Lepisosteus oculatus: one gene and its partners. The protein of the gene in region 2 purifies or fractionates together with the protein of the main gene of each other region. This does not show direct contact. Links are inferred from orthologs where the notes say so. Each region holds a gene or a part of one and is shown on either strand. Other genes may lie near its edges. The genes, in order: mta2, zmynd8, znf687b and mta3.

The links.
Region 1: the proteins of zmynd8 (region 2) and mta2 purify together in Homo sapiens (affinity purification with mass spectrometry; 3 studies listed by BioGRID and IntAct, with this or other methods). This does not show direct contact. The link is inferred for Lepisosteus oculatus from reciprocal best matches to the Homo sapiens genes ZMYND8 and MTA2.
Region 3: the proteins of zmynd8 (region 2) and znf687b purify together in Homo sapiens (affinity purification with mass spectrometry; 4 studies listed by BioGRID and IntAct, with this or other methods). This does not show direct contact. The link is inferred for Lepisosteus oculatus from reciprocal best matches to the Homo sapiens genes ZMYND8 and ZNF687.
Region 4: the proteins of zmynd8 (region 2) and mta3 purify together in Homo sapiens (affinity purification with mass spectrometry, with the first as the bait; 3 studies listed by BioGRID). This does not show direct contact. The link is inferred for Lepisosteus oculatus from reciprocal best matches to the Homo sapiens genes ZMYND8 and MTA3.

Annotation. Positions count from the first base shown.
Region 1 is NC_090713.1:21,715,663-21,723,327, forward strand, and holds the start of mta2 (metastasis-associated protein MTA2), read left to right. Parts: upstream 1-4,311; 5' UTR 4,312-4,802; coding exon 4,803-4,830; intron 4,831-7,665. Other genes in the region: eml3 (echinoderm microtubule-associated protein-like 3), read left to right, coding at 1-11, 617-823. UniProt on the Homo sapiens protein: May function as a transcriptional coregulator. Acts as a component of the histone deacetylase NuRD complex which participates in the remodeling of chromatin.
Region 2 is NC_090711.1:7,658,518-7,666,160, forward strand, and holds the start of zmynd8 (MYND-type zinc finger-containing chromatin reader ZMYND8), read left to right. Parts: upstream 1-4,257; 5' UTR 4,258-4,552; intron 4,553-7,520; 5' UTR 7,521-7,643. Other genes in the region: translocating chain-associated membrane protein 1-like 1, read right to left, coding at 808-926, 2,031-2,091, 3,733-3,852. UniProt on the Homo sapiens protein: Chromatin reader that recognizes dual histone modifications such as histone H3.1 dimethylated at 'Lys-36' and histone H4 acetylated at 'Lys-16' (H3.1K36me2-H4K16ac) and histone H3 methylated at 'Lys-4' and histone H4 acetylated at 'Lys-14' (H3K4me1-H3K14ac).
Region 3 is NC_090722.1:6,132,886-6,140,687, reverse strand, and holds the start of znf687b (zinc finger protein 687b), read right to left. Parts: upstream 3,261-7,802; 5' UTR 3,026-3,260; intron 488-3,025; 5' UTR 468-487; coding exon 1-467. Other genes in the region: psmd4a (26S proteasome non-ATPase regulatory subunit 4a), read right to left, coding at 5,200-5,379, 5,890-5,957, 6,087-6,218, 6,380-6,488, 7,769-7,802. UniProt on the Homo sapiens protein: May be involved in transcriptional regulation.
Region 4 is NC_090712.1:14,766,260-14,774,848, forward strand, and holds the start of mta3 (metastasis-associated protein MTA3), read right to left. Parts: upstream 3,167-8,589; 5' UTR 2,921-3,166; coding exon 2,893-2,920; intron 666-2,892; coding exon 598-665; intron 1-597. UniProt on the Homo sapiens protein: Acts as a component of the histone deacetylase NuRD complex which participates in the remodeling of chromatin.

The DNA of each region.
Region 1 (7,665 bases), on a different chromosome or scaffold from region 2:
CCAAGCCCAAGGTCAGTGTGCGGACCCACCCCCACAGGCGGCCTGTAACACCCTGACATTGTCTTCAGTACAGCACCCACCGGGGTCAACAGATGTCCCTCCCTCACCAGAAACGTGATTTTGTCGAAGGACAAGCGAAGTCCTTAGAGATCACAAAGCCACATGAGGGTATACCCCCTCAGACTGCAACCTCTGATTGCTTAACCTCAGTTTTTCGGGCTGTAGCTGTGTAACCTGACCCTGGGTCCTGACCTGCGACCCCTGACCCTGGAGGGCTGGCGGAGGTCACCTGACCCCACCCTCCACAGCGCCCCCTGCTGGCCGAGAGCGCAAGCGAGCGAGCCGGCCCCTCGGGGGGGACTGCCGGCACTGGGCCTGTGGGAATCCCGCTCCGAGCGGCTCCGTCCCCCCCGACGCATCAGGGGCCTCGTTTTCCGGCGCCCAGCGGGGGCGGGGGGCGGGGGGCGGTCCCTACGATGCCAAGCCCTGTGTCGCTCGGCCAGCCTCGTCCCCAAACCCCCCCCCCCAAGTCCCACCGAGATCCGCTCGGAAAGCTGCAGACCCTGCTGGGGGGGCGTCTCCCCTAACCCCTTTTCTGTCCCCCCCCCCCCCACAGGCCCCCAGCCACCGGTATGAGGGCCACGGCAGCCATGTGACCAACGTGCGCTTCACCCACAACGACAGCCACCTCATCTCCATGGGTGGGAAGGACACCTGCATCCTGCAGTGGAGGGTGACGGGGGGCGGGGGCGGGGGCGCCCCGCTGGACCGCAGCTCCTCGGTGTCCTCCAACTCCGTCAGCTCCCAGGAGCCCGGTCCCTAGAGCAGAGGGGCCCCGAGAGAGACCGCTGACGGCTGAGGCGCGGGCTGGTGGGAGAACTGGCCCTGGTGTGTGAGTGTGTGTGTCAGTGTGTGGGTGTCCTGTGATGGACTGGCGTCCCGTCCAGGGTGAGTGAGTGTGTGTGTCAGTATGTGTGTCCTGTGATGGACTGGTGTCCCGTCCAGGGTGAGTGAGTGTGTGTGTGTCCTGTGATGGACTGGCGTCCCGTCCAGGGTGAGTGAGTGTGTGTGTGTGTCCTGTGATGGACTGGCCCTGGTGTGTCAGTGTGTGTGTGTCCTGTGATGGACTGGCGTCCCGTCCAGAGTGTACTCCGCCTTGCACCCAGATTCTCTAGGCCAGAAAAACCCATGAGAGATCCTGTGAGTCAGGGCAGCTCCAAACAGAACAAGCCAGCGGACCGGGACCTTCCTCTCCTTTCAGCAGCCTCTCTCTTCCTCCTCCTCCTCCTCGGGTTTGCGCCTCGGGCTGCAGAGGGACCACCAAACCCAGGCCCACGATTTCGGACCAAACGTCGTTTTTCTCATTCTGTACAGAGATTGTTTTATAGAGATGCTTATGTCTTATGTCTGTTTTGATTTTTGATTTTTTTGTTTTGTTTTTGTTGCAAAACCTACACTCCAGAAAATGTGATTCTTGGCTTCTCCTCCCCCCCCCCTCCTGGAATAAACAAAGAAATCTCGGAACCAAGCAGGGTGGAGGTCATTGGGGTGCGACAGCGGGCTGGTCTGGTGGGGGGTCTCCCGGCTGTGAGACTGGACTGGGACCACCAGCAGGGGGCTCCTAGATTAGATTAGATTATTCTTTCTTGCCACACAACTGTAGCTGGTTGAATTTGCTTTCGGTACAGCACAGAACACAGGTGGGACATGCATACAACATGTACAGTACAGATTTAAATAGGATCCCTGCTGCTGTAGGTGCTGAACACAGAAAGAGACCTAGAACCCCCCCCCATCCTAGAGTAGGGGGGCACAGCGTCGCTCATGGGGAGACAGGAGGGTGTGGGCTGTCCTCCTACCCCTCCATGACTTCATTGAACTCGTTACGGGCTGAATCAGACAGGTGGGGTCTTTTTCCTAGTCTCTGAGAAACGGGAGATTCGAAGAGACCCACTTACCCTGACTGTGGACTGTGGCCCTTGAGGGCCGTGATGGGGGTCCCCTGCCCTGCAGCTGGGTGTCTCAATCGGGGAGGGGGGGGGCTGAATTCTGACCCCACTGGAGGTCCGGTGTGTCCGTCTAGCTCGTGTATCGAAGGCTTGAAACAGCTCGTCGCCGGCTTCACTCAAGCGACGTTCCGGCTCCTCCGGCACTGTGGCTGTTTATAGTTAAAAAAGAAAATAGAATATTTTTTCTGAGACTGTAGGTTTAATTGAAGGCTTTCGGTCAATTGTGTTCCCTCCTGCGCAGTACCACGTGTTGCCAGCAGAGGGCAGCAACGACCTGCAATTCAGCTGCATGGCTCCGATTCCAACGAGCTAAGAGTTTGCGGCCTTATTTTAGTTTTAGTTATTGGTTTTAAGACACGGCACGTACTAACACTGCCCACGGGTGGCGCACAAACACAACCGGGAGTGAAACTCTGCGAGACAACCCCACAACGAGCTGATACCCGTTTGCAGTTCCCTTTCGTCTTTTCCGAGCTGGAAGACAACACTGGCACATCACGGCCCAGACTGGAGCAGGAGTCGGAAAAGACAGGGGGTCTCGGGGAGACCAGTCTTGAGACCCCCCTGCGTCTAAAACAGCTGTTCCAAAGGATGAATAACTTCAGAGAGGTCTCCCAACCAGAAGGTCATAACTTAATAATAATAATAATAATTGCTTACACTTATATAGCGCTTTTCTGGACACTCCACTCAAAGCACTTTACAGGTTTTGGGGATCCCCTCCACCACCACCAGTGTGCAGCCCTACCCACTTACTTAGAAGTTAATCGATCCCAGGGTCAATCCATTTCTCGAAAGTTTCGATTCAAGCTTTATTGCCCACTGGGGAAGTTTGTTTTACACAGCACCCCAACATGACAAAGACGAAGACCAAGCAAGATGTCGGCGCAGCACTGTTACAGCATGCTGAGAGAGAAGATGGATACGATACATAGCAGCCAGGGTATCGCCTTCAACACCACGGCTGGGCAGCTTGTCCCCCACCCCCACCACCCTCTGTGTAAAGGCGGGCCTCCTGCGCCCAGACTGGAGCGTCTCACCCAGCTGCGTCTTGAGTGACGTCGAGGTTATCAGCCTCAACAACGTGGCTGGGGAAAATAGCTCCACGCTCCCGCCACCCTTGGCGTAGAGCGGTGCCTCCTGTCCTGCTTGTAGGATCTCAGCCAGCTGTGCCTTGAAAGAAGCCAGGGTATCGGCTTCAGCACCGCGGCCGGGCAGCTTGTTCCACACTCCCACCACCCTATGTGTAAAGTGTGTGTGTGTGTCTCTCTCTCTCCCTCCCTCCCTTCCCGCCCGCTCTCAGTCTGAACCACTCTTCCACTCAGTTTCCTCTGGCGTCTTCCTGGTTAGCCTTTCAGTGTCGAACGCCTCACCGCCCCCCCCCCGATAACAACTGGTGGGTTGAAAACGCGCTGAAACGGAACTTTTTCCGCCCGTGCGGCCTTTGCGGTGCCGAGCGCGGCGGCGGCGGGGCCAGATCCGGTCCCGCACGACGGGTCGAATTGGAGCCGCCGAGCGGGGCGGGACTTCCGCGTCCGTGCCCACCGCCGGCTGTGGGGCGCAGCGGAGCCGAGAGACCGGCCTCGGGACGTCCCAGCGCCCGGCTGCGTGCACGGCGACCTTGTCTCTTAATGACCCCCTCCCCCCGGGCTTGGACTGCTGCAGGGGGGGCGATGCAAACCACCGCAGCCAGCCTTAAAACACACGACGCCCTCGCCTCGCATGACCCCGGGCTGTGGCTGTCAAAAGCGGTAAACACGTGTCGCAAAAAACTCCCCCCCTCCTCCTCCTCACACACACAGAAAAGTTCAATAAGCGTTGGTGTCCCCGGTAGGATAATTACAGAGCGACGGGAGCATTTCTCGCACGGCATCTTCGGGAAGGGTTCCTGGACGTTGCGGGTTCGAATCCAGGGCGTGCTGTGCCCCCTCCCGTCCCTCGAGGGGGGGCTGCGTAGATCAGACGTATCGATGCACAAATACAGTGCGAGCAACTTCTGCGATTATTCAAAGGGGGGGGAGGGGTATGTGTTAACACCCGGGGGGGTGCGTTTCATTGTCCATTGCTTTGGCCTGTCGCTCGGTGTCGCCCTGGTGCGGGTAGTTCGGCGAGACGAGACGGGATCCCCAGCCGAGACGAAACCCGCCGGAGATACCCGAGCGCGGCCGAGGCGAGTCCGGCCCGGGCGGCGAGATGGTCCACCCCTGAAGATGACGTGAGCCGGCGAGGAGGGAGAGAGAGAGAGGGAGGAGGGGATGTGGCGTGTGTGTGTGAGAAGAGAGGTGAGGAAGAGGAGGATGAGGCTGGGAGCGGAGGGTGGGAGGAAGAGAGAGAGACGGGGTGGCTGTGTGTCGGGACTGTGAGCGAGTGACTGCGGAGGAGAGGGCGCTGGTGGACTCTCCCCTGCCGGACAGGAACAGCCGTGGGGCGGCGGGCGGCGACACGGGTTTTCTTCCACCCAAAAAGAAAGAGAGAGAGAGAAAAAAGAAGGGGGCTAAACCTGGACAACACTGTAACGGAAAGTTGTAACTTCGCGAGTGGCGGCGCGGGTGATCCCTCGCCTTTTGTTTCTAGGCGAAGGGCGGCCCGCCTCCGAGGGGGAACCGGGATCGGATCGGATCGGATCGGCGCCGGGAGACGGATTTTGCCTCCCTTCTTTCGTTTTGTGTGTGTGGTTTTATTTTTTAAATTCCTATTTCAAGAAGAAGAAGAAGAAGAAGAAGGGAGAATTGTTTCGGCCGCAGCCGACGGGTTTCCCTCGGCCGGGTGTCTGTTCAAGACGGCGACCGGAGAATGGCGGCCAACATGTACAGAGTCGGGGGTGAGTTCGCCAGTCGGGTTCCGAGTTCGGGTCGCTCCTGTCCCGAGGTGGGGGGGTTAGGATGCAGAGAGGAGGTGATGGTGAAGGAGGTGGTGGGGGGGTTGCATATTTTTTTATTTCCGTGCGTGTCGCTCCAGCCAGCGAGAATTGAATCATCATCATCATCGTCATCCTCGGTTCGGGGAGAAGAGGCACCGATCCATCCCGGTGCTCCGGTGACATCGAACCGGGTCTCTGTTCTGCCGTCGAAGCCCTAGGCCCCGAGCACCCCTCTCTCTATCCCCCCGGTGATCTCCGGAGGAAGTTTGGCGAAGGATTTTTATTCAGTTTGTGTTTGTGTGAGTGAGGGGGGTGGCGGGGTCGTTTTAAATTAAAACCGCAAACTGTTTCCTTTCTTCTTGTGCGAAGAGAAAGGGGAAAAAAAAAAACACCCGGCCGACGCCGAGACGGTTCGTATCTTCCTGTCCGGAGAGGCTGAATTTTGGGAAGTAAAAAAAAATCTAACACAACCGGTTTAAGGTCCCGGAACCGCCGGTGTCTTTTTTTTGGGGGGGGGGTGATTGAACCGTGCGAGGTGGGAGGGAGGACGACGACGACTTGAATTTGTTCAGTTTAAAAAAAATAAATAAATACAAACTATTTCGGGGACTTGTTCGCGGAACTCCACGCAGGACGCAGGTTGCCCACGCCACGGGGTTCGTGAGCGAGCGAGCGTGTGTGTGGACGTTACCGAGGGCTCGGCGGTGCGGAGAGGCGATCTGCTCTGGTCGCGTCTGAAAAGGCGACATGTAGGTCACACACACACACTCTCACACACACACACACGGTTCGAGTGGAGGGTAACCGGTATGGTCGCGCAGAACCAAACAAACACAAAAGGAGCACGCGTGGCGCGCACACGCCACGCAGCTGGCGTGGAAACCAGCTGAACGGGAGCCCCGGCGGAGTCCGCGCGGCCTGCGTGTCTGTGGCTGTCGCACGGGAGGAGGAGGAGGAGGAGGGGGGGGCGGATTTTATCGCGAAGGCGGAACCACCGTGTCGGAAGCCGTCGCGCGGCCGGTAGCGAGGAGGGGGTTTCGGGGGGCCGCTGTGCAGGCACGAGGCCTTGAGGGGAGGGGGTGGGGGGGCTTTATTCTTTATATCTTGAAGCCCTGCTGTTGAGGAGCTGCCCTCCCGCCCCCTCTTTCCCCGTGCGTGGACTGTGACGCCAATAACACACAGCCAGGGCGCCCGTGGGACAGACATCCACCCCGCCACAGCGCGGGGGGCTCGCTGCTGGACGTGCCAACAACTGTCTGCCCCCCCCCCGACCTTTTCGTCCCACCCCCGGGGGCAAAGTATCACGGTGTAGAGACACACGTGAGCCTGCCTTGTCTCCTGTCTCCTGGCCTGCCGGGGTGGGGGGGTCTCGAAGCGACCCAGTCGATTTTAAGGTGGAAGTTTTTCAGGAGTGAGCGAGACGCCTGGGGTTCAGGCCCCCCCCCCCCCCCCTGCGGCGGTGGCGGTGGGCTTCAGAAAGGTCTCGGCCTGTCTCCCTGCTGCCCACCCTACTAATGCCCCTGCAGGCTCTCTCATGCCTCCTTCCCTTCGTGTGCCCTGGTGCGAGCTCTTGTGCACACCTCCTTGCACCCTCCTTGCCCTCGTGCGCGCTCTCGTGCGAGCCCCCTGTGCACACTCGCTCGAGCCACCTTGTCCTCGTGCACACCCTCTCACCCTCTGCTCCTTGCCCTGGTGTGCGCTCTCGTGCAAGCCTCCTTGTCCTCGTGCACACTCTTTCACCCTCTGCTCCTTGCCCTTGTGCACACTCGCTCAAGCCTCCTTGCCCTTTTGCACACTCTTTCACCCTCTGCTCCCTGCCCTGGTGGTGCGTGCTCTTGTGCACACCTACTTGCACGCCCCCTTGCTCTCGTGCGCACACTCTCACCCTCTGCTCCTGGCCCCGGGCCACACCAGAGCCCCAGTGACTCAGGACAGCCCTCCCCTGCGGCCCTGGTGGCCCCGTATCTCTGCTCCAGCGACCTCAGCGCTGCGCCCCCATCTCTCCGCGCCCTGAGGGTCTGCAGGGTCCGGCTTCTGGGTCCAGCCCCCGCTGCTGGAACAGGCTCGCTGTGCCGCTGGCCTGTGTGGTCATCAGCCCGTCTTGGTGGTTTTCAGGAGCTTTTTCCTCTCCTAGATCTGGAGGTCCTTATACCCTCTCGTTCTAGTGTGCGTTGTGAAGGGGGGTGGTTGCCCACACTGAGCGGTAAAGACCAGTTTTTGGGGTTAGATAATGGCAGGGGTGTCCAGTCCTGGTCCAGGAGGGGTCAGTGTGTCTGCAGCAGGGCTGTCCAGTCCTGGTCCAGGAGGGGTCAGTGTGTCTGCAGCAGGGCTGTCCAGTCCCGGTCCTGAAGGGGTCAGTGTGCCTGCAGCAGGGCTGTCCAGTCCTGGTCCAGTAGGGGTCAGTGTGACTGCAGCAGGGGTGTCCAGTCCTGGTCCAGGAGGGGTCAGTGTGTCTGCAGTAGGGCTGTCCAGTCCTGGTCCAGGAGGGGTCAGTGTGTCTGCAGCAGGGCTGTCCAGTCCTGGTCCAGTAGGCAGTACTATATTTGCAGAGTTTCCAGGTCTCTTCAAAGCAGCAGCAAACTGGTCCAAGAAGCCAGTAATGAGCTAATTGCAGTCATTAAGCATTGACCTGGAATGGGGAAAAAAACTGCAGCAGCACCTAGCTTTCCAGGACCGGGACTGGACACCCGTCCAGGATCTCATTAACACTTGGATCTCCGATCATGGCCACCAAAGAGGTCAGAGGTCAGTGCTGGGGCAGGCGATCTCTCCAGATAATCAGTCTGCTGAGAACCA
Region 2 (7,643 bases):
CAGACGCCCACATATTCAGAATACATGTAAGATTTATTTACTTCCTCTTCCTGTATGTATCTGTCTGGTATTTGGCATGAAAGTAAGCTGTTGCTTCCAGAGCAGGGCTGTTCTCACACAGATAGAGTAAGCACCTTTTAACTCTGGAACAAGCAAATAGCCTGTTTCCTATAGGTAATTCTCAGTAATGTAGCCATGTGGCTGTAAGCACAGGACAGAACAGGCAGATGCAAAAATTACATACATTCTGGGCATTTTGCTAACACCCTAGACACTGACAACTTTCAAACTACATCAAAATAATAAAATACACAAATCTTAAATATGACATATCTTTCACAATCATTGTTTTCTTCTACTGGAATTAAATGTACAACACATCATTTTGCAGGGCACCAATGTTTGTATGTTCCTACTTTTCTGATGGGGATAATGACTACTACTACTACTACCACCACCACCTCTGGATGTTGCTGCTGATGTCACAAAGTGATGTTTCCAATATTTAGATATTTAGCAACTTTACACCTTATTCTTCCAAATCAGTTAACTACACCATGTTTACTAACAATCTCCCTAATTAAAATAAATAATCATTTGCCTATCAACTTTAGGTTTAAAAAAAAGCTTGGGCTTGTTTATACATAGGTTTTGGCTTCCTGTTTCAGCTGTTATAGTTTATAATTTCAGAAAAGTCTCTACTTTTTAGATCGGTTGTTTTTAAGAACACAAGCTAACAGGTTCCTTCTGCATTGAATAATGCTGGTTTCATTCTTATATCATTGCCAGTCCTGGTCAGTAACTTACATCGAGAATGTACTCCTGGATCAAGGCATGAAGAATGATTGCAATCAGGACATAGAAGAAAACTGTAGCCATATCTTTTGGTCCATACTTATAGAAATTGACAGGCTCAGGTCTGTCATCTGTATTGAAAAGAGGAAAAAAAGATAACTATAAATGTTAACCCCACACTGTTAAAAATCTAGTAGTTTTCCAATTTTAAAATTGCTCAATATTCCAAAAGAATTTATGCATTTTGAAAATTTTTTCAAGCAAACAGCAGTTGAGCCATGCTCTTTTCTTTTTCCAGTTAAGCAGCATTATACCTTTAACTACAGATTAATATCGGTGAATGCTTCCTAAGAACAAGGTCAAAGGAAAACATTCCAGCAACAGCATTTAGAACCAGGGATGAGAATTTCTGCACCATTACTGATGCAACCATCAGTCCTGTCCCCGGGGTGAGTCCAATTTTGTTATACTAAATGTTAACTGTAAACCTCTTTAGCATGAGTTTGATTAAACCTACCCCTTTCTGGAGATACACAGTACTCATCGTATTTAAACTTTTGAAAAAAGATGGGAAAAAAAAATTAGGCAGACAAAACAAAAGGCATCAGAAAGGCTTTTACTTGCGTTTTCATCGATTTTAGATGATTCTGGATTGACCTTAACAGTCTGCACGCAACAGACACTAACACACACATAGCACATCTGAAGAGCTGCTCTTTAGCCCAAAACCTATGTCAACTGCATGGTTACTCTGATGAAGATGATCTCATTTCTTACCCCCCTCAGTTTTTCCTAACGCATTTCTTTTGACTTCTGCACATCTTAACCCAAGTTGTCTCAGTGGGTAAACTTTTCATTGTAGTGTGCTACCAGACAATGCAACACCAAGCAAATGAAACTGGGACACTGGCTTCACTCAAGCCTTTTCTGAATGTAAAAAGCCTCTGCCATGCTCGACTTTTGTGATTATTCCCAGCAGCTGTAAGGACTCTGTATCAAACTTTATTGTAGCAATGCTTTAGTTTTATTAAAGTCCTTTGAGTTGAGTCCCCAGAAAAGTGCTATATAAGTGTAAAGAATTAATTATTTAACGAACAAAAAACAAGGAAATGTTACAGTGAAGTAAAAGGCTCTGAGGCAAAACACAAATAGCATATTTCTGAGATAATATTTAACCAACTTTACACACTGTAAAAGTGTACCCCATGTGTTTTTTATTAAAGTTTAAGACTTACCAAGCGTGTATGTCACATTGTATTGGACAGTAATAAACATGATGGCATATTTTGCTGTTACCTGCAGAAAAAAAAAGAACAATGAAGAAACAGTCATTAAAATGCTCTCTCTCTCCAATAGAAAAAATACACTCCAAACTAAACATTAAACTTGTATGAAGGGCAACAAGCATGAACTGAACATGTAAAATCGTAACATGAAGGTCCAATGATGTACTGCTAAAGTGCACGTAGTCAAGATTTGCTTTAATGCAATTTTCCAGGGCAGGAAAACCTAATCTCTGCCTGAGCTCTAAATGTGAATATTAAGAAAAACAATTGTGTCCATTTTTATTTGCTCTGATATTTTCCAATGCTTGGTGCTCTGTTTTTTTTTCTTCCCCAGGGAATGGCACACATAATCATTTTGTCTCAAACTTCAAAACTCCTTTGGATGTCAGTTCATCAATATTTTTATTTATATCCTAAATGGCGGGCCCTGACACTTATGTCTTGTCCTAATGTGGTATTTCTGCTTCTTTGCAAATCAGGTTACTGATGTGAAAACTCTGCATCAATGTGCAATGACATTATAAGATGATGCATTTCGTTTTAACCCCCTTTTCAGGCCCAGAAAAGGGCCTGTGTGACAGTGTGAGTCACACTGTCTTGTGTTTTTCTGGTGCCCTGTACAAACCCGGCTACAGATTTGAAATATTTTCAGAGCTGGCATGTGAGATAGCAATGGCTTTCAATTCTCACAGTTTCACCTAGTGTTGCCCCATTTTCAATGACTATTCCTGAACTTCCAGACAAAGCCTCTCTTTGTGGAAGAGTTTTATACGATGCACTACATAAAAAATGCATTGTAGCAGAAACCGCAGATAATATCATAATCCAGTAAATACAAATACAAATAAATTGTACTGTATCAAAAACATGTACACATGAAGTTAATGCATGATAATGCAAGACTGCTGAACCCTTTGGACAACTCGTGCAACGTCAGTTTTATGCTGTAAAACTAAAATTAGTAACTTTATGAATTAACAGAAGACATTTTAAATTTTAAATTTTAAACCGTCCAGGTGCCATTAGTTCATTCGCTCCAAAAACAAAAGCTGTGCCTCGCACCCTTCAATGTAAATAATGACTGCCGAGACGCGAAAACAAACATTTTGTCAAGTTCGTCGTCGTTCGCATTCGAAATATTACCATCAGTAACAGGTAACAGGCAGAAAAAAAATAAACGTTTAAAACATTGCTTTTTGCGGTTATATTTAGTACAACCCTAAAGCACCTGCAGTATGGCAAGGTACATAGCTGCATTTGGCACATCCGATCATTAATAACACTTTAACCATCGACCAGGCGTCACTGCCCTTCGAGTTAGCCAGCTACAGTACCTCTTAAAAACATATCTTCGGTGTAAAATGATATTTTGATGTGGGTGCCTAGCTGTGACATCAGCCCAGTAAGCTGAGGCGTTATATAAACCAATAAAGACATTTCTGGCGGCTCTGAACTATGTCCGGGAGCTCTTGTGTTCGGCACTCTGAACTATTTGCCCTGTTGAGAGGAGCTTTTCCTGTAATGTGACCAGGTTTATATGGCCGCGTTCAGTCTTAATGATCAGGGGGGGATAGTTTGTGCCCAGCCCCCTTGTGGCTGTCAACCGGGTGTCCTGCGTGCCGATCTGCTTTTTGTTGTTTCCTTACTGTACCTCAAACATGAGTCCCAGCAGAATGATCATGGCCACGCACGACACCATATCCGCGTGGTTCTGGATCACGAACTCGTGGCTCAGTACCGGCGGGCTCTTGTTCTTCTTACGGAAACCCATGGCTCTGGCTGACTCGGCAAGCACTTCTTCCCGCGTGTGTTTCCCAAAAACAAGACCCCCCTTTCCTCTTGCCCCGCCACTTCACTGTTGAGAAGGTGCAGTATTTTAGCATGAATTCGAGAGGATCGACAGAAGGCAAAATGTGCTCACAAACACACACACACACACCACGCACGCAACCACCGGACTCAGCCCGACGTACCCTCCCAGATTCTACTCCAGACTCCTCCAAGCACCGCCCACTGACGCACAGGTCCCGCCCCCCGCGGCAGGGACACACGTCTGATGGACGGGCAGATGGACCAATCGGAAAAAGGAAGCCGGGATGAGCGGCTGAGGCGTCCGCCAATCGTCACCCACGCTCGGTGAACCTGCCGGGCAGGGCAGAAAACCGTCAAGGCCTCCATCTCCGCTACGTCAAAGCTCTCTGACTTGAGTCGTCGTCGTCGTGTTGTCACAGCGTGCTGAAGCGCTTTATTTCCCCTTCACAACAAGATCGACTGCTGTCTTCTCCAATAAGAACGCGTTCATGAGCATTAAACCTTGCAGTTTTAGGGTACAGAAAAAGAAGGGTTTTTTTTTAGAATGAGAGTGGCCGATGGGGGTTCTGAATGCTTAGGAGGCACATAATCCATACACACACGTTTTTTTAAAGCATTGTACAAGCAAGACTGGGATAACACCGATTTCTTCACCAAAGGTTAGTAAAGCCGTTTCATGAAAAGAAACAAAGGGCTGCACTGATAGTCTAGAATACTTTACATTTCTGGAGAGATTTTGTATCGGGACCAAAGAAAACATTACACGGGGCGCAATGCAACTAAGGTTTGGTTACTCACTTCAGAGGAGCATTAAAAATCCTGTGCGATTACCGTTTCCTTAAATCTAGTTACACTTACAACTACCGAAGGGTTTTGGTATGTACAGAACCTTCCTGTTAAAGCGTTTGCAAGCTGCATCAAGTGAAGGTGTGAAGAGTCTCGTTGGAATGAAACTAGAATTCCATTTTGTGATTAAATTATTTAGATATAAAGGTCTGGCTGAGTGGTAACTTAAATAAATGAGCCTGTTCACTTGGACACTTATACACTTAATGTATAAGTACTATCAACTGTATGCAATTGTTTACATGCATAGCCATAATATGCAATGATAAGCAATTATATTGACATATTTTAGTTAATTACTGCCATGTTGCCTAGTGCGATTCCTGAGTGCCGCTGAATTCAACAGCCAGTGGCTGCAGAAGCCAGTGCATAGAAATGTAAATACAGACATGCTTTATATTTAAAAGACAGAAAAATTAATTCAGGGAAGTTGCAAAATCTTCAGAAGCAAAATCAAGTCATCAGTGCCTGTGTGTTTTAAACATCATGGCAGTGAGGGCTGGGCCTAAGAGGATGTCACCTTAAAGAGATAAGAGCTCCCTTAAAAATATCCATTGTGAGGACAGCATCTTACTATAAATCATCTTCCAGCTTGTCTGAAAAAAAAAGCTTCAGCACTCCCGAGGCTGATGAAGACTTACAATTCTCAAAGAGATGTGGTGTGTTCACTTTGAAGGCCTCAACACAAGTACTGTATTGTGCTCACCAAAAAAATGAGAGATTTTTGACAGCCATTTGTCTCCACTTTGTTTCAGTGCCAGGACTGGAGGAGACATTTTTAAACGCTGTGTATCCAGGTGTGGTTAATCAACAGCTGGGCAGCCTATGCACATAGAACACATTTATAAGCTTCAGTCTGTAAAAGTAATTTTGTGCAGTGATGGAGTGGTGATGAAGTATTCAGAATAGTAACTGAGCTATGTGGTGGAAAAGGTGTAAATGTAAATGACCACTCTAAGGTTCTGGTTGTTTATCATCTGACCCTTTAATTCTATGTATATGGAAGTCTAATGTGCCAAGGCATGAAAGAACACAACGTGATTAGTGTAGGATGTGAGAGTGCAGCCTATTTATCTATACTAGAATTTGCCTCAAGGTGTCACTATTACATTTAGGATCACAGAAAAAGGGCACAAAGCTATACAGTAAATAGTATTTCCTGCGAAAATAATGTTTCTTCTACAAGTGAATTGTAAAATTATAATGCAGGTGTATAGCAGTATTAGAAGGTGTTCAACACGTGCAGGTGTCAGAACATATAATTGCAGGCTGTTCAGTAATTAGTAAGAAGTCCATTTTCGACACTCCATTATAGGAAGGAGTGAGTGAGGCCAATACTTTAAGCTTTTAGACACCTGAATCTCACAAAAATTGTAAGTAGTAGCCAATGTATATCTCTATATGTTGGGTGCTTTTAAATCTGTTATGAATTTTTTTTTATATGATTGTTTTATCTTTGTGATTGGTAGAATTCCTTGTTCTTGCCACATAAATTAACTTTTATTATGCAAAACTATAGCAGTGCGGCCTGATATGTAAGAAATATTATGCCATTCTGAAATAAAATACAATTTGTTATAGATGCACAGTTTGAATTCACAATGAAAATATATGGCATGTTTGTGTTTAAATTATGTATAAAAAGCTTATTATATATTATTTATATGAAATATTATTTTATATTTACTTTTAAAAACATTTGTTTCACAAATGCAACAATACCCCAATAACCAATTAATAGAAATTTGTGAATCACATGTAAAAAAAACAAATTGCTGTTGCTGTTAATCAGAGTTTGTGACCCGACTAGAGGACATTGGCTACTTTTTGTAGCACAGTGCATATATTTCATGGGGAAAATAGGAAAAAAACAGTACACACAGTTCCACTTTGATTGAGGTAATGTCAGCCTTTTCTCCTGACATAAAACAACCATGACAGTACTATATTTAAATAATAATTTTCTGTTGGAAAACCAGAAATTACGAAAACAAAACAATATTTTTCATATAGAAAACAGTTCATTTTGGTAGATGTTTAGTGCTTGTATACAAATCTATTTTTATTTCTGGATTAAATCTAATACAGTATTTGATTAGTAATGCACAATCAAACTGTCTTTTTCTAAGAGATTGTAAGTAGACCAAGATCTAGAGAAAACAGTAATTTTGTGGAATCTAATGGGAATTAACTGAATTTGCAATACTAACATTTTGTGAGATGTTGTGTAATATTAGAAATATGCCTTTAAAATATAATATTTACATTCACTGTATATTGTCTGCATGTTTTTATATCTAATATTTCTGCATATATATAGGAAAGATATATATATATACACAAATAATTGTGTAGTTGGCCAGTTGACTATTTTGTTCTTAAGAATCTTATAAATGTAATATTTCTAGAAGCCTGGTAGATTTACAGATGGGCCTAAGACAGACCTTCTACAGACTGCTGTCACCATTTATTCTTACTCTTCATTCGTATACTTTTGCATTTGGGAACTTAAATTTTCTGTGGATTGTTAAAATAAAAGGGAGGGATTTCTTAGACAAAGGCCTTTCTCTCTGCAACAGGGAGGACGAGTCAGACTGCTCCTAGTTTTCATGTTTTGGGGAAATATTTTGGAAAATACAGTTAAATACAACCCAGCCAATGTAGGATGCAGTGATTGGTAACGATTTTAGAACATTGTATGTGTTCATTTGTTTGTAGGAATGTTTTAAAGTGTGTATTTTGTGATTTGGGCCTAGATCTGGCTCTTCTTTTTGTCCACAGAGCTGCTCCTGCCTGCTTGAGCTGAACAAAGATAATTACTCAGGAAATGTTTCAGCCAATCCGCTGCCGCTTTACATCCCGGTAGTGAAAAGAGGCCATTCAGGGTCTAGCTTCTATCTGGCA
Region 3 (7,802 bases), on a different chromosome or scaffold from region 2:
GCCACCATGGCCGGGCCGGCCAGCCCCGGCAGCCGGGGGCCCAGGCGGGACCCTACGACGACCCCGCCGTCTCGGTCGGGCTCGGCCTCCATGTCCCCGAAGGCCTCGGGCCGCACGCGGTTCTTCACGATCACGCTGACCACGGAGGGGTCGGGCTGGGGCGCCGGCAGCTGGACATTCTGGGGGTGTGGCTGCTGCTGCTGCTGATGGTGGTGCTGATGGTGGTGATGTTCTGGGGGGCTTGCGGGCCGGAGAGGGGATACCCCTCCTCCACCGACCACTGCTACGCCTGTAGCCCCCCCCCCTCCTCCTCCTCCTCCACCCCCCTGCTTGACAATGCTCCCATGGTTGCCGTGGTGACCCTCGGACTCATCCGGCGCGGACTGGATGGCTTCTTTGGCGTCGATGTCGGGGATGTCAAAAGCCGCCAAGAGGTCGTCAAAATCTGGGGTCTTCATGTCCCCCATTCCGGGATAGCGGACAGAAACTGCAGAGAGGAGAGGAGACAAGGACCTGTCACAGATATGTCCTCTCACACGTGCCTGCGTGTCCTCTGCAAATGTCATCGCAAGGGAGTCCAGATCACCGGCACCAGGCTCTCAAGAGGGAGCTGCAGGTGAATCAGACCGCCGTGCGCTGGGAGTGCGATGGCTAACGCGCACACCTGGGGCTGGACCGGTCAGCTGTGCGCAGGACACCTGGCCGGCCATGGCACAAAATCAGTTTCAAATTTCCCCTTTTCGACTTCATGCTGCTCTTCTCTCCCCAGACTACACAGATTCTTGAACGACCTTCAGAAAGAGCTACTTACGCCACCGGCCCTTTTAAAACCAGCAGCCCGGAAGATGTGAGTGAGGCCGAATCCACCCTGTGTCTTCTGACGCATCACACAGGGTAGAATCGGCTCCACACCCCCCCCGTCCCGACAGCACCTGCCTGCCGCTGCCACATACCGAGAGACATCGCCGCCCTCCTGATCACGGCAAAGACCAGCTCCCTGTATACCGCTCATTTCGGAGCTGGCACCTCCCAGCACACTTGACACTGGACTGTGAACAGGCGCCGTCCTTCGGATGAGACGTAAAACCGAGCTCCTCACTCTCTGTGGTCATTAAAAATCCCAGGGCGTTTCTCGAAAAGAGTAGGGGTGTAACCCCGGCGTCCTGGCCAAATTCCCCATTGGCCCTGACCAATCATGGCCTCCAAATAATCCCCATCTATGAATTGGCTTCATTACTCTCCTTTCCTCCCTACTGAGAGCTGGTGTGTGGGGAGTGTTCTGGCTGCCATCGCATCATCCAGGTGGGGCTGCACATTGGTGGTGGTGGAGGGGAGTCCCCATTACCTGTAAAGTGCTTTGAGTGGAGTGTCCAGAAAAGCGCTATATAAGTGTAAGCAATTATTATTATTATTATTATTATTATTATTGTTATTACTTGCAGAGGGAGAGATTCTTTCACAGCCCAGCAGAAACGCTACGGCCATCCACTTCCAAACCACTGCAGCCAGCTCGGGGCCACAGGGGAGCTGGGGCCTCTCCTGGGTACAAGGCAGGGTACCACCCTGGACGGGACGCCGGTCCATCACAGGGCAGACACCCTCGCACTAGGACCGCTTTTACCCAGAAGCCAATGAACCCGCCAGCGTGTCTTTGGACTGTGAGAGGAAACCGGAGCGCCCAGGGGGAAACCCACAGGAACACAGGGAGAACACGCAGACTCCACACAGACAGCAGCCCCGATCCGAATCTGAACCGAGGTCCCCTGCGCTGTGGGGCAGCGATGTTAATCACTGCGCCACCGTGCTGCACGGTATCACCACGCATTGCAAAGAAATAAAACTCCGATCCTGATCCCGGAGGGTCTGAGGATATTCAATCCAACTGTAAGGACTTATCCAGCCCCCTGCTTGGTTTAAATTTCACAATTAGGCCCAGCTTTCCGTATGCTGGAACTCTAAATCCTGCAGGTTCTCTTAGCTGCCCCTGGCAAGGAATAGCAGGAACATCCTGACAAAAGGATCTGAAAGTACAATGTCCATTTCACTACCCATTTTAACTGCCCTGTAATTAATTTAGAATAAACTACAAGAAAACAGTCAATTATTTTACTTCAGATCTTTTATCTGTAAATCGTTTAGTCGTTAAATAAAAAGGAATAAAATAACATTTTCACATATGCGCTCTGCTAGCGGCTTATGCATGGATCGTGAGTTAGACTCCGCGATGAGTCGGGAGCGCAGAATTGGACCGGGACTAGTCCACTGGACAACAGTCATAAAGCTCCCCACCAAAGCGAAGGAATTATTTTTCATCCTGTTGAGAAATCAGCACAGTCGAGGGTACAATATGCCTGTACTGGCATATATACATATATATATCCACTCTTGTGAAAAAGACGTGGAAAGGTTTCACGTCTTTTACGAAAAAAAACGTGGAAAATTCAGTCCCGCGGGCTGTGCAGGGAACGGACGGGGGCACATTATTTCGGAACATGAGATCGATCACATTATTCGGCTGAACCCCGCAAACTCTAAAACTCGACGTCATGATCCACCACCTCCGAAGGATCAATAATATCCATCACAGACAGCCGCGCCGAGCCGCTCTCGGAAAAGGTGTTTCGAGGGCAAGCGTGAACCGCTGAGCGCACGTACTTTCCGGATGGGGCGAGTACGGGTTCCTGCGAACACAATCTTAGGGCTTGCACTTGTAAACGCACCCGGATGAAACCGTTTAATTCCGCCGGTTTCGTGCGATATTTCGGGGAGGGAGGGAGTGGAATTCATGCCGTGGCCAAAGTTTTTTTTCTCCTCCTCCTCCGCCGCCGCAGCCATCAGGGACGGATCTGAGAGGGAGTATCTGGAGGAAGAATGCGGGCGTTTTAACAGACGAAAATGAGGTTTCGACTGCACTTCGGTGGGGGAGAGGCAGTCAGTGCGGGGTTAGGAACTGCTATCTACACTTTGGGGTGCGGAAGAGCGCTGCCCGCCCGGGGTTTCGGGGTGAAATATTGTGTTTGTTTACCTGCCTGCGAAATTCCTGTGTCTCCAACCTCCCGTCGCTGCGCCTGAGTTTCCCGTCACCTGATGGGGACAGGTCCTGTCAGATTCACGCTGCCTCTTCTCCGGCACTGGAGAATCCGTATTTCGAGGCTTTGTTTACTTTTAATAAAATAAACTAAAAATGTATTAACCTCTTTCTGTCACATCACACCGCCTGTTTGTGTTTTATTACTGCCCGTGGTTTTTTTTATGTGTACATCAAGCCGACGTTAATTTTTTGCTCTTCCGAGACTCCACTCTGACGCGGACTAAAGCCCGAAGGAGAGCCCGCCCCTGGGTCGATAGAAAATGGGCGTTGATTGGCGGAATAGAAGATCCCTCATAGTATCCCCGCCTTTACTGTTAGTATGCTAACTGCGATTGGTCAACGTGTGTGTCTGTTAAAAGTGTAAGGTCAGGGTAGCTAATACGACATCAGAGGTTACCAAGAGTTTAAAAGTTAAAGGGCGAGGAAATTACGCCATTTTGGTCCTACTGGCGACCCGTGCAGTAACGTGTATCCAGAGCCAAAATGGCGGAAAGACGGCTTTTATTTCTAAAGAAATTACCTTCTGTATTTGCGAGATTGAGGTATAATTGCACTGAAGTCGCTAAGGAAAAAATACATGCTCTGTAACCATACATATACGAGTCGTTTTCTTATATTTTAATTTTAGTATTGCCCGCTTTAAAATGCGTGCCCTATCCCAGCTCGTCCGTCGGCTGACAGCGACGGTCGCTCCGCTGGGGTTGTACGAGTACCACGACTCCGTTTTCAAAAGCCCTTCAAAAACACTTTTCCTTGCGTTTCCTTAGGACCATAAGAAAACTTTAAAAGGAGAGGAAGCCAACCGACCGATTCAGCTCGTTTGAGTTAGTAGCCGTAACCATTCTGAGGATCTTAATCGAACCGTGTTGAAAGAAACAGGGCACTGGCTTCAACGGTATGGCTGTATAGCTTGTTTCACACTCCCACGACACTTTGCGTAAAGATGCAGTTCCAAGAGATTTCCGCTGGGTGTCTCAGCAGGCTTTGCAGTTATACATTTAGTATTTACCATTACTGAAGAACAGAATCAATTTTGCTGCGATCAGTTAAACAGGTAGTGTTGAAGTATTTTAAAGATCATCTGTGATGTAAATGTGGGGACCATATTCGAGAGCTCTCTTGAAGATGTTTACCTTCCATCACTGCTGAACAATTAGCAGGTGTTGCCCCCGATTCGCGACAGGTGACCGAGATCGCTGGTTCCCAAACCCATGAAAATCCCGCGGTTTTCATTCCAGTTGAGCTCTGCCTCTCCGATGCAGATTCCTCACTTAATTATCAGCTCGCTTTGGACTGTAGTTGACATGTTTCTTCAGGCAGCCCGAAAAAACAAATCCCACTTCAAGGGCACATTTCCCACTTTCAGCAAAGTCTCAACCCGCTGGCGGCCTTTTTCTAACTGGAACAGCTCTTCCTGATCGATCAATGAACATTCAGGCCCTCTAGACTGCATCCAGAGCCCAGACTTGAACAAGAGAATGGCGGATCAATTATACCCAACATCATCATCAATACACCATAGGACACAATACATTCCAATACTTTTTTTCCCAATTTTTTTATTGTTGAAAGGCTGCACAATACAGTACTGCATCTGCATTGGGGAGGAGGGGGTAAAAAGAGAGGAATAAAAGAGAGAAAAATTAGGGGGAAGAAAAGAGAGGAGGAGAAAGTGTGAACTGAAGACAGAGAAAGGAATGAAAGGGTTATGGGGGGGAGGGCAGAGACCCCAACGTCCCTCTGGGTTAACCATTAACTTTCCGATACAAAAATGACCAGGCTCTTGAGTATGCAGGTGTCTACATCTGCGTGTGTACCAGCCCCCAGCGCCCGCCAGACCTCTCTCACTCGGACTGTGGCCCCACCCATGGCCCTAGCCGTTTCACTGACATTGGGCAACACTCAGGAAGAGCAAGCAAGATACTGGGTGTGTTCCAGCCCTGCACTGGGCAGAGGGGCGGGCGCTGGGCAGCCCTGTTCTAGTGTAAGTGTGTGTGTGTGTATCCCACTGTGTGTGTGTGCGTGTGTCTCGGTTCCCTTTCCCAGAAGTGTGTGCGTGCGTGCGTGCATGAGTCTGTCTTCCCCTGCGAGTCCATGCAATCGTCCCGTTATTTCTTCTTGTCTTCCTCCTTGTCCTTCTTGCTCCCCTCGGTTTTGGGGGTGCCCTGCGGGGCCAGGGAGCCCATGGCGTTGCGGATGGCCTCGTTGTTGGGGTCCACCCCGGGCAGGTTCTCCAGCACGCTCTGCAGGAACTCGGGGTCCTGCATGACGTCATAGTCGTCTTCCTCCTGGAGACGGGAGGGGGAGGCGGTGAGATAAGAGGAGGGAAGAGGGAAAGGTTTCTCCCAAAATTGGCAACTGCTTCCCTGCCCCCCACCCCCATAGCGTCTCCCCCTAGAGCCTGCTGAGCTCTGTGACCCCCCAGCTGTTGCTGGTTCGAGCCCTGGATCTTGTCACTGGACGACTGTGATGCGATTCCCCAGGAGCGCCCCCACGTCCAGCAGGCCTCTCCCAGCTCGGAGCGCCACCCCCTAGGCTCCGGGGGCATCAGCCAGGTCTCGGAGGTTGTCAAGAGGTCACGGGGGGAGATCGTATCCAAGGGCAACCGGAGAGCTGGCGGTTTTAGATCGAGGGAGGGTTTCCAACACTGCCTGCCTGCTCACTCTAGTAAAGGTTCACCAACGAGCACATTTCTGCACAGGAGGGAGGGGAGAATGAACGAGCAGGCTCGTCCGTGGGGGACAGGAGGTATGGGGGGAGATGGAGCACGCGGAGAAGGAGAAAGAAAATCTACGTACCTTCGTGGACTCTGTAGTCTCCATGGCGGCTCCGGTGTCCATGTCTATGGGCTCGGCCTGGCCGAACTCTGCCAGCACAAGGAGAGAGAGAGAGAGACTCACTGAGGCGGACTGGCGGCAGAGAGGGGAGCTCGGGCAGGCCAGCGAGGGCGTGTGTGCGCGTAAGCAGTGTTAGGAGGAAGCGAGCACCCCTGTACCTGGCCCTTGCAGTGACATCTGCATGGCGTAGGCGATCTGCTCATCTTCCGTCATGCTGCTGAAATCGGGGAGCCCGGGGGTCCCCGACTCGGGCTGAGACACCGACATCTTCAAGAGAGCCTCCTCTGACTCTGAGGGAGGGGGAGAATAGAGAGGAGGTAAGACCAGATCCTTCATCGAAAATACAGCTCACATATCTCAACCTCTACCCTGCAGCGCCACCCTGCTCCTTCCCAGTCCTCCTACGCATCCCTCGCCTCCTCTCCTCCCTCCCCAGTTCCCATCCTCTCACCGTCTCCGGAGGGAGTGGGGATTCCCGCTTCGGCCGCGGAAGCAGCAGCTGCCCTGCGAGCCTCTTCCTCCTGCCTCTGCCTCTGCTCTTCCATCGACACGCGCAGAGCCTGGAGGAGAGACAGCGAGAGGAGAGGTCACTCCACTGAGCCTGTGGACAGGGGATGAGCGGCCTCACAGGCATCACACACGGCCGCCAAACCCCAGCGATCTCTGGACTGTAGGGTTACAGTGTGACCCAGACTGGACCAGTGATCTCTGGACTGTAGGGTTACAGTCTGACCCGGCCCAGACTGGACCAGTGATCTCTGGGCTGTAGGGTTACAGTGTGACCCAGACTGGACCAGCGATCTCTGGACTGTAGGGTTACAGTCTGACCCAGACTGGACCAGTGATCTCTGGACTGTAGGGTTACAGTCTGACCCAGACTGGACCAGTGATCTCTGGACTGTAGGGTTACAGTGTGACCCGGCCCAGACTGGACCAGTGATCTCTGGACTGTAGGGTTACAGCGTGACCCGGCCCAGACTGGACCAGTGATCTCTGGACTGTAGGGCTACAGCGTGACCCGGCCCAGACTGGACCAGCGATCTCTGGACTGTAGGGCTACAGCGTGACCCGGCACAGACTGGACCAGTGATCTCTGGACTGTAGGGTTACAGTGTGACCAGACTGGACCAGTGATCTCTGGACTGTAGGGTTACAGTGTGACCAGACTGGACCAGTGATCTCTGGACTGTAGGGTTACAGTGTGACCAGACTGGACCAGTGATCTCTGGACTGTAGGGTTACAGTGTGACCCAGACTGGACCAGTGATCTCTGGACTGTAGGGTTACAGTGTGACCCAGACTGGACCAGTGATCTCTGGGTTGTAGGGTTACAGTGTGACCCGGCCCAGACTGGACCAGTGATCTCTGGACTGTAGGGGTACAGTGTGACCAGACTGGACCAGTGATCTCTGGCCTGTAGGGTTACAGTGTGACCCAGACTGGACCAGTGATCTCTGGACTGTAGGGTGACAGTGTGACCCAGTCCAGACTGGAACAGCGATCTCTGGACTGTAGAGTGACAGTGTGACCCAGACTGGACCACTGATCTCTGGACTGTAGGGTGACAGTGTGACCCGGCCCAGACTGGACCAGTGATCTCTGGACTGTAGGGTGACAGTGTGACCCGGCCCAGACTGGACCAGTGATCTCTGGACTGTAGGGTGACAGTGTGACCCGGTCCAGACTGGAACAGCGATCTCTGGACTGTAGGGTGACAGTGTGACCCAGACTGGACCAGCGATCTCTGGACTGTAGGGTTACAGTGTGACCAAGACTGGACCAGCGATCTCTGGACTGTAGGGTGACAGTGTGACCCGGCACGCCTCTTCTCTTGTCTCACCAGGGCGAGCTCAGGGTCGGCGCTGGGGTCCACC
Region 4 (8,589 bases), on a different chromosome or scaffold from region 2:
GACAGGTGTATTTATACTGAAATCATGTGAACCATTATTATTGCACACAGAAAGAGACAAAGTAGGACATCAGTGAAGGGAAGTAAGTACTTTTGAAAGGCACTACTGATGGTGCTACACTTAAGTGGGGGATAAAGTGAGTCCACTTCTGTATGTAATGCACTTTGGGATCTTTTGACATGGAAAGTCCTATAGAAACACAAGCAATAACAACATATTGCTGACATCTGTCAGTCACACAGGACTGAGAGTCAACAGAGAGATTACTTTCCATGATTTCCTTATTGCCAACACTTTCCCCAGGAGTCAACTTAAATGGTCAGATCGAATAATCCCTCAGCACAAAGGCAAAATGAATTACATGCAAAGATCAACCTTCACAAAATCCTTAACAACGATTAAAGTCCGCCCACCTCGGTATACAAGTAGGTAAAAATAAGATCAGTGACCATGAGCAAATACTGGTCTGTCAATTTTACCCAGTTCCCTTAAGAAATGTAAGCTTTTTGCTCCTTAAAGGTCATCCCCTCAAGGGTTTTACAAACATCCACTCCCACCCTGCTCTTGGTTCCAGCCCAGAAAAACACTGCAAAATACCTTGTTCAACTCTTCTATTCTTCTGATTAGATATGGGTTGCTTGAAGAGTTCTCAAAGAACACATAATCTGCAACAAAACAAACAGGGTTAGAGCTTTTCAAAAGAAATGTTTTTATTGTCAATATTTAACTTGTAAACAAATTATTTTTCTTTAACCTAGATTTACAATAATTACAGATTTACAGTAATGCAATGGATGTCTAATTTGCAAAATGAGGTTAACTTTTTAATTGAGTACTTAAATAAAACCAGAAGACAAAAGCCCCCCCAAGGAACAGAGTTTGAGACTCCTGCACTTTGATGCCTGAAGATCAATGCAGAGCAAACACAGAAGCATATGTGATAAATCTTTTTTTTAAAACTGAAAATAGAAATAAATTATAATTCTTATACAAATAATGCCTATGACGATGCTCAGTGAAAAGCATATCATTACTGTTGCAAAGGTGTTTGTAACACAGAAAGTGGCATATCGCATAACTTTAAACAACATTAACCCTGGTGCATTTTTCTCATACACAAAAAAGCTCCAGTAATGCCGCTCAAAATGCAGAATCCCACTGAATTAGGTACATATCCACAGTTATGCTGTTTTAGGTGATCATGCTAAAGAATAACATGATAAACACCCAACACAAGAGTTAAATCGACTTAAATGCTGAGTTTGCTATGTGCATGTATTTTTATTTATATATATATACCTGCATGTATATAACACGTATGTACAAATAAAAGCCTTAATGTCTAGAAAGGAGTGTTTGCTGGCAATGTCAGAAAAGGCAACATTAAGATACTTAAGAGGTTTAAGAGTGTTAGTTGGTCTCAGAGGAAATTAAGGAGCAGTAGGACCAGTTGCCATGGACAGGTGCAAGTATTTGCAGGTTTTTCCTGAGCTCCTACTTCCTAACCCTGAAATCAGCTTCTGGACTCAGTGTTTTTAGAACATCAGAGCTCATGGGAAAGCGTCCCTAGTGATCCAAGACAGCAGAATTAGGAAGAAGTAGAATTGAAAGATCTCCACACAACAACTTAAATAATTAAAAAAAAATAATCCATGGGTTATATTAAACCTTTACAATGTATAAACCAGATACAAATCTCTAAAATATTTTATATGCAATAAAAACAAACTGGATTGAAGGGCAAAAAAACATCAGAATGACTTGCTCAAGTGAATTTTAAATAACAGAATACAGGTCTATATCCATATATAAGTAATACGCACATATGTAATGTGGTTGTTTATTAGGTGTTGACATAAAAGTGCATATACACTACTGGCAGCTACGTCACGTTTTAAGACACCCAGGCCAGACACCTACCTATGTAAGGCCTAATTTAATTCAATACAAAGTACTCTTATTCTGATCATTCAAAAATAATAATAAAAAGAAGCCGGGACGATTTCAAAACAGAAAGCAAAGTTTTTATTGTATTAAGGACGAACTTCTCCAGTTACCTGATGACAAAGAAAAGATTGTCGTAAAAGATGCCAATATTTTTAGGTGTCACGTGACTGGAACATTCCCATACTTTGAAGCACAAAATTTCACACAAGACCAGTCTGATCGCACTAGCTTCGTTCAGTAATTTCGATATATTTTATTTACCTTGAAAAAAATAATGCGTGGTGGGGGGGGGGGGCAGAAAATTCCAGCCATTATGAAAAATGTTTTTTTTTATCCTAGCAACCGGAGTTTCAAAAACCGATAGACATTATTATAACATAGGAGACACTAAAAAGAACAACCACCTTTTTCCAGATTAATGACAGAAAAACACACTCTGGGACCATACGACTGCCGAATTGCAAGTCTTTGGATGTGACCGTGCATAATAAACCGTGAATGACTGATTTACGGACAGGGACCAATGGAGATCATTGCAAAGACAAGGGCATAAATACAAAGAAACACCCGAGAAACAATGGACGCACATCCAGAATATAACTGTAAAACTTACTTTCAACTTCACTCTTTGAACACTCAAGACCTTATATCACAATAGACGTTTACACGTGTAGGAAATGTATCAAAAATTGAAAAAGTATCAGATGGTGTTTGTTTTGGGAGTGCTGCTTTCAGTTTCTAATGGTTAGTTTTAAGGCCCGACCCAGATTTTAATCCCAAATAATTGAAAATTCCTGCTGCACCGGGCTCGCAAAAGACCTGCTTCCCGCAGCTTTTTGACAGGCACATTAAAACCGTACTTCTGCGAATATCTATTAATGCACACCCCGTCACGCTGAAAGAAATACCAACACTTTTGTAAATCAAAAATCTAGACTGACATACCTCCGACCCGGTACATGTTGGCCGCCATTTCTGCCCTCCTGGAGCGTGAAAAAAATAAAAAGGGAAAATCATAAACTACAAAATAAAATAAAAATAAATAAAAGAGTACCTATATATAAATATACCGCAATGAAATGGCGTGGTGGGGGGTGGGGGGGTGGAACGAGACTTGAGCGGGAGAGAGATTTAAAACAACCCCCCCTCTCCCTGCATACAGTACAATACAGCAACAAACACGCCGAAAGGCTTCAGATCAGCTCGGAGCCCTGTTTCCTGGTGGGGGTGGAGGGATGTGGGGGATTGGCGGGGAGGGCACAGACGGAAGGCGGTGCCATAGTGGAGCTCCGGTGCTGCGTCCACTCACAAGCCGCAGTTGTTCAGCGCTGGGCAGGAGTCTTGATGAAGTGCCTCACGACGGAGGTTATTTCACGTACTGTGGGTACTTACTTCCACGGAAATACCCGAAGGCAACTGAGTAGAAGGGGTTTAAAAACACACACACACCATTCATACATACACTCGTTGTTTGGGCTTTGTCTTGTGTGTCTGTGCCATGTTTTATGGAATAAAGTTTTTAAGCATTAAAAACACGTAGGTTACAAACCAGATTAGGCCTTTCCGTCCATTGTGGGTATTCTGCTGCTAAATTTGTGCCATCTCACCCTGCGGTTTCCTGAACCATACCTGGGGTTATGCATCAACAACATGGCTGGATCACCTGTTACACTCTCCTGCCGCCCTTTGTGTAAATAAATCTAAAATACTCTTGCTCTTTTTGCCATTCTGTTATACACTGCTGGAGAAGACTGTTGGGTTGCCTTAGTCAATCCCTTTCAGGAATTTGAATCCTTGAACCAAGTACCCTTGCATTAAACTCTGTTTATAGACTAAAAATATTCTGTTCCCTCAGTTTGCATATACACGGCTGTCTGTCTGTGCAGAACATGACATACCTCAAAAGTTATCCTGTAACCCGGTTGGGGTGTTAGGACATTTTGCGCACCCATGTGCATACGATTATGTAGCACTCTTTAAACTGTATCATTGCCATGTGAGTGTATTTAATGACCCTAATAAAGGTGTGTCTAGAATCCTGGATTTTTGTGAAAATTATTGAATTCAGATTAACAGAGAAAGGAAACTGAAAATCCCATGCCTAATAAAATACCACAGAAATAATGAGGAGGCAATAAGATAAACAGCTGGATTCAGCCTAAGCTTCACGATGACAGCCCTAATAAGGCCGTTCATTAATTAACCTGTTCAGATCACATCAGCAGGCTGTAATTGTTCTATCCGTAATCAATGTCTTTAATTAGACTGGAGTGCAGCAGAGATATGTCAATGGACTCAGTGGGAGACATGTTGCCAAGGGATTCTCCTGCATTCAAAGAGGTGCTAGGCAGCAGTTTTAGTTCCTCTCGATGTCATAACAATCAATGGCTGTATATTTCTATTAACGTCTACTGTATATGCAGAGATGAGGGTGGAACACTTCTAATCACAGCTTGGAGTGGCCCTGTTGTTAAAAGGCTGGCAGAACCCAATCAGATGCACAGATCCATTACCACTCAAACAGATTTGCTGGAAAGGGGATGGCTTGGGTCCTATTGGCAGCACGTTCTGCGACATTGCCTATGCTATTGCCTGTCTGTTTCTCAGTTAGAAAACAACATTGCTTTACAGAATTACAAGGGAAACTTAATTTCTTCTATGTCTAACAAATCTAAGATCATGTTTTAATTTAGGAGGTTGCAGCTGCCAGCTAAATCTTTTGGCCGAGACGATATTGTGTTGATCCAGTGATTTGGGTGTGTATGCAAGCTATCAGTGAACAGTACACTACAACAAGATTTCATATGAACACTGTGAATAAGACTTCAGCTGGAGCTGGTATGGTGAAGACAGTACATGTAGACAACTTAATGGTGACAGGTGACTAACAAAACAGAGAATAGAGTATACTTGACAAATTCAATTGGTTTGCTTAAGGCTTTACAGTCTTAAGGTTTTATATTACAAATGCACCTTATTTCTTATGTTTTTTTTTCTTTTTAATAAAATTCGATCTAAATATGTTAAAGAGATTGCTAGGTGTGAGTTCTTCACCATTTGGCTTTGAAAGAATGTTAAAATCCACGAGGCTCTCTAACATATCAGGAGACTGTATGTTTTATGGTCTGATTACTTTTTATTCTGTGTTCTGAGCTGTTTAGTTTTGAACGGTCCTGTCCATCGGCCCATGATGTCATACCTAAATGGCATTAAAAGGTATGCACCCATTCCTGCACTGTTGGAGCTCCATCCCTAGACTTACATATCTGGAACCTCCAGCATGTGGAAATACACCCATCAAATCAGTGGCCTCTTGCTTTCATAGGAAGAAAAATCCACTGAAAGAATCTGTTGTAGCACCAAGGGTTCTGTAATTTGCCAGTATAGTACTTTATTCACAACGGCCAAAGTGAACAAACAAATAATATTTCAATACATTACTGAATCCCATGGCCTCTGAATAATAGAACATGTGCTGTTTGAGTGCAGAACATTCAACGTGCTATCTTCAGTGCTTTCATCTTTTATTGAGAGGACTTTTGAAAAATTAATTGTTCAGTGATTTACCATTTCATAAGCACAGCAATTTGCAATAATATGCTAGTGTTTATTTTGATCACCTTGAAAGCTGCTCTGTATTTTACATATACAAAGTAAAATGCACTGCATTTGCCACTTTCTAATATTTATTGTTTAAAGAAAACTTAGAAAAGTCAAAATTAAAATATACATCCTTCATGAACAAAATGTAGAAATATAGAAAACAGTGACCAGATCTACTTTAAAATGAATATGGTCCACGTGTAAGTGTCAAAGAATTAAATAAGTCTGTTTGGAGTAGTTACACATTTATTGCAGCATGTATCATATATCACAGAACCCACACATAGAGACAACAAAAACCACAATCTATCTGAAAACAAAAAACTAAAGAAAACCCCTAGAAACACAGGATGAACATGCAAACTCCACACAGAAGGATGGCCACACAGGAATTGAGCCCAGGACTTAAGATCTGTATAGCAGCAGCACTAACCACCACACACTGTGATACTGTACACACCAATTCATCCACTTGTCTTGGTAAGCCTAGTGATACTACTGTACACTGAATCTAATCACCAGATAATAATAAGTAATAGTAAATAATACATCTCTAATCACAAAAAGTTAAATAGCTATATAACCCTGCAACCCACAACTGACCACTCACTTAAGCTCAGCAGTTGTGAACCTGGCCAATACCTGGATGGGAGACCTCCTGGGAAAGATAAGGTTACTGCTGGAAGAGGTGTTAGTGGGGCCAGTACAGGGGGCTCACCCTGTGGCCTGGGTCCTAATGCCCCAGTATAGTGAAGAGGACACTGTACTGTGGGGAAAAAAGGCACCGTTCTTCAGATGAGATGTAAAACCGAGGTCCTGACTCTCTGTGGTCATTTAAAAGTCCAGGACGTTTCTTGAAAAGAGGGGGTGTGCCAAACTTCCCCCTGGTCTTTACCTACAATGGCCTCCTAATAATCCCTATCTATGAATTGGATTCATTACTGAGTTCAGTCATGTCCACTGAGTACTACTGTGAGGCAGGGGCGTAGCCACGGGTGGGCCTGGGCGCATACCCTTAGTGTTTACAGAGCTAAAATACATCCAAAGTATGTATGTGCGCTTTTATTAGCAGACCATTCTTGCAATTAAAGGTACGACTAATTGGTTAGCACTGTAATGCGACTATAACAATTCAGTGTCAAGTCTTTTAGGAAGTCACGGATTTCCAAATTAGGTGTCTTTTGGCATCGAAAATAGAATACTAATTTAATGGGTTTCATACACGTTTAAAAGCATCATGAAGGATCAAACAAGCCCATTTTCACTTGTTGCTTATAACAGTTCTAAGTATTTCTTATGCCCGCTTATAGATTGTTCAATAGTTTTACGAGTTACTCTGAAGTTAATATTTTGTTGCACCACACAATGAACACAACGCAAAACGCAAGATTCAAAATCCGTCCGAAATATTGTATTTAAAATACCATGCAGGGTTTACCTCGAGCTTCTTCTGGTATGTTATGCTCAAGTCCGCTGAATATTTAAAGGCAAGGTAAAAGCTCCGTGACGTTGGTCCCACTACAGACAGCACAAACGATGAAACCCACCTCATTCGTTAGTGCTACGTTTGTGCCTGTTGGTACCGTTGAAAGTAGCGTTTGTGCTGCTTTCGTTCCCGAGATAAAGCACCTTGTTTTTCCGCTGATCACGTGACCATGCACGGTGACTTTGACCTCCAGTGACCCCGTCTGCCGAGTTCAAGCGCGCTGTTACAGTTTAGCTCGTACCCTTAACATTTTAAAGACAATCAATATCCATAAACATATAGTCTCCTTAAAATAATGGCAACAAGTTAACCAATGACATAAACCTGTGGTTGTAATGTCTGTAAAATCACCGTGATTGTAAGATCTATGGTTTTTATTTTCTAAGGCACGTTTTCCTTTTCTTCCCCTACCTTGACACGCTTTTGCCAAACGCATAACTGTGGGACACCATCGCAACAAGACCTAGATAGGGACCCCATGCATATTGCATGTATATCGCGGCAGTGTATGTCACGACTGGCGCCTTGCTTCCATGCCACCCTGGCACGACTGTCGCAATAAAGGTATCAAATCAGGACATGATATACCCAGATAGGACATAACATAACGCATATCGCGATATGACATACCCCGGCAAAAATGCCCCGACCCATGTCGCGACATGAAAGGCTCTATATCGCGATATGAAATGTCCCGACAAAACGCCCACCCCCCATGTCGCGACATGGAGCTCATGTATCGCGATATGGGCGTGACAGTTTTGGTCATATCGCGATACATGAACTCCATGTCGCGACATGGGGGATAGGGCGTTTAGGCGGGGTATGCCATATCGCGATATGCGGGCTTCATGTCGCGACATGAGCGCGGGGGCGTTTGTCATATCGCGATATGCGGGCTTCATGTCGCGACATGAGCGCGGGGGCGTTTTGACGAGCCAATGTCATATCGCGATATATAGACTTCATGTCGCGATAGTGACCTGCCAGACGCAATGGGTATCGCGATGTGATTGTGATGCGCGCACTCCTATCGTGACATGCTGTCGGAGTCGTGAACGCGCTGTGGGTGCCATGACATTCTTTGTCTACTATTCAGTTTTGACCTCAGTGCGACTTCTCTTAGATTGATCAGTAATTGGAAACCAATGGATGTGTTACTGTATATCCAGCGTGCTCACACAGCACACACGGTTAACCGGGGCTACAGTATTTGGACCAAGAAGAACATCCATCACCTGTGTATCTACATGTTCTCGGAACTTCCGCTGTAGCGCTTTACCCAATCAGAGTGTCGATTCTCACTCTTCACCCAATCGCGGCCCGAGCTGTTCGGGGTTTAGCCAATCACGGGTCTGGGAGCTGTGCTTGAGCAGCGCCAGGTGGATCGGCTTGTTTGCTGTCAAGGAGAATCTATTTTTAAAATGCTTTACTTATTTGTAAAATAACTACATCGGCTTATTTTGTAAATGTCTTTATTCATTCACAATGTTCTGTACTCTTCGAAATAAATACATTTTTATTAACTGTCTGCGCTGCTTTCTGTAATGAAT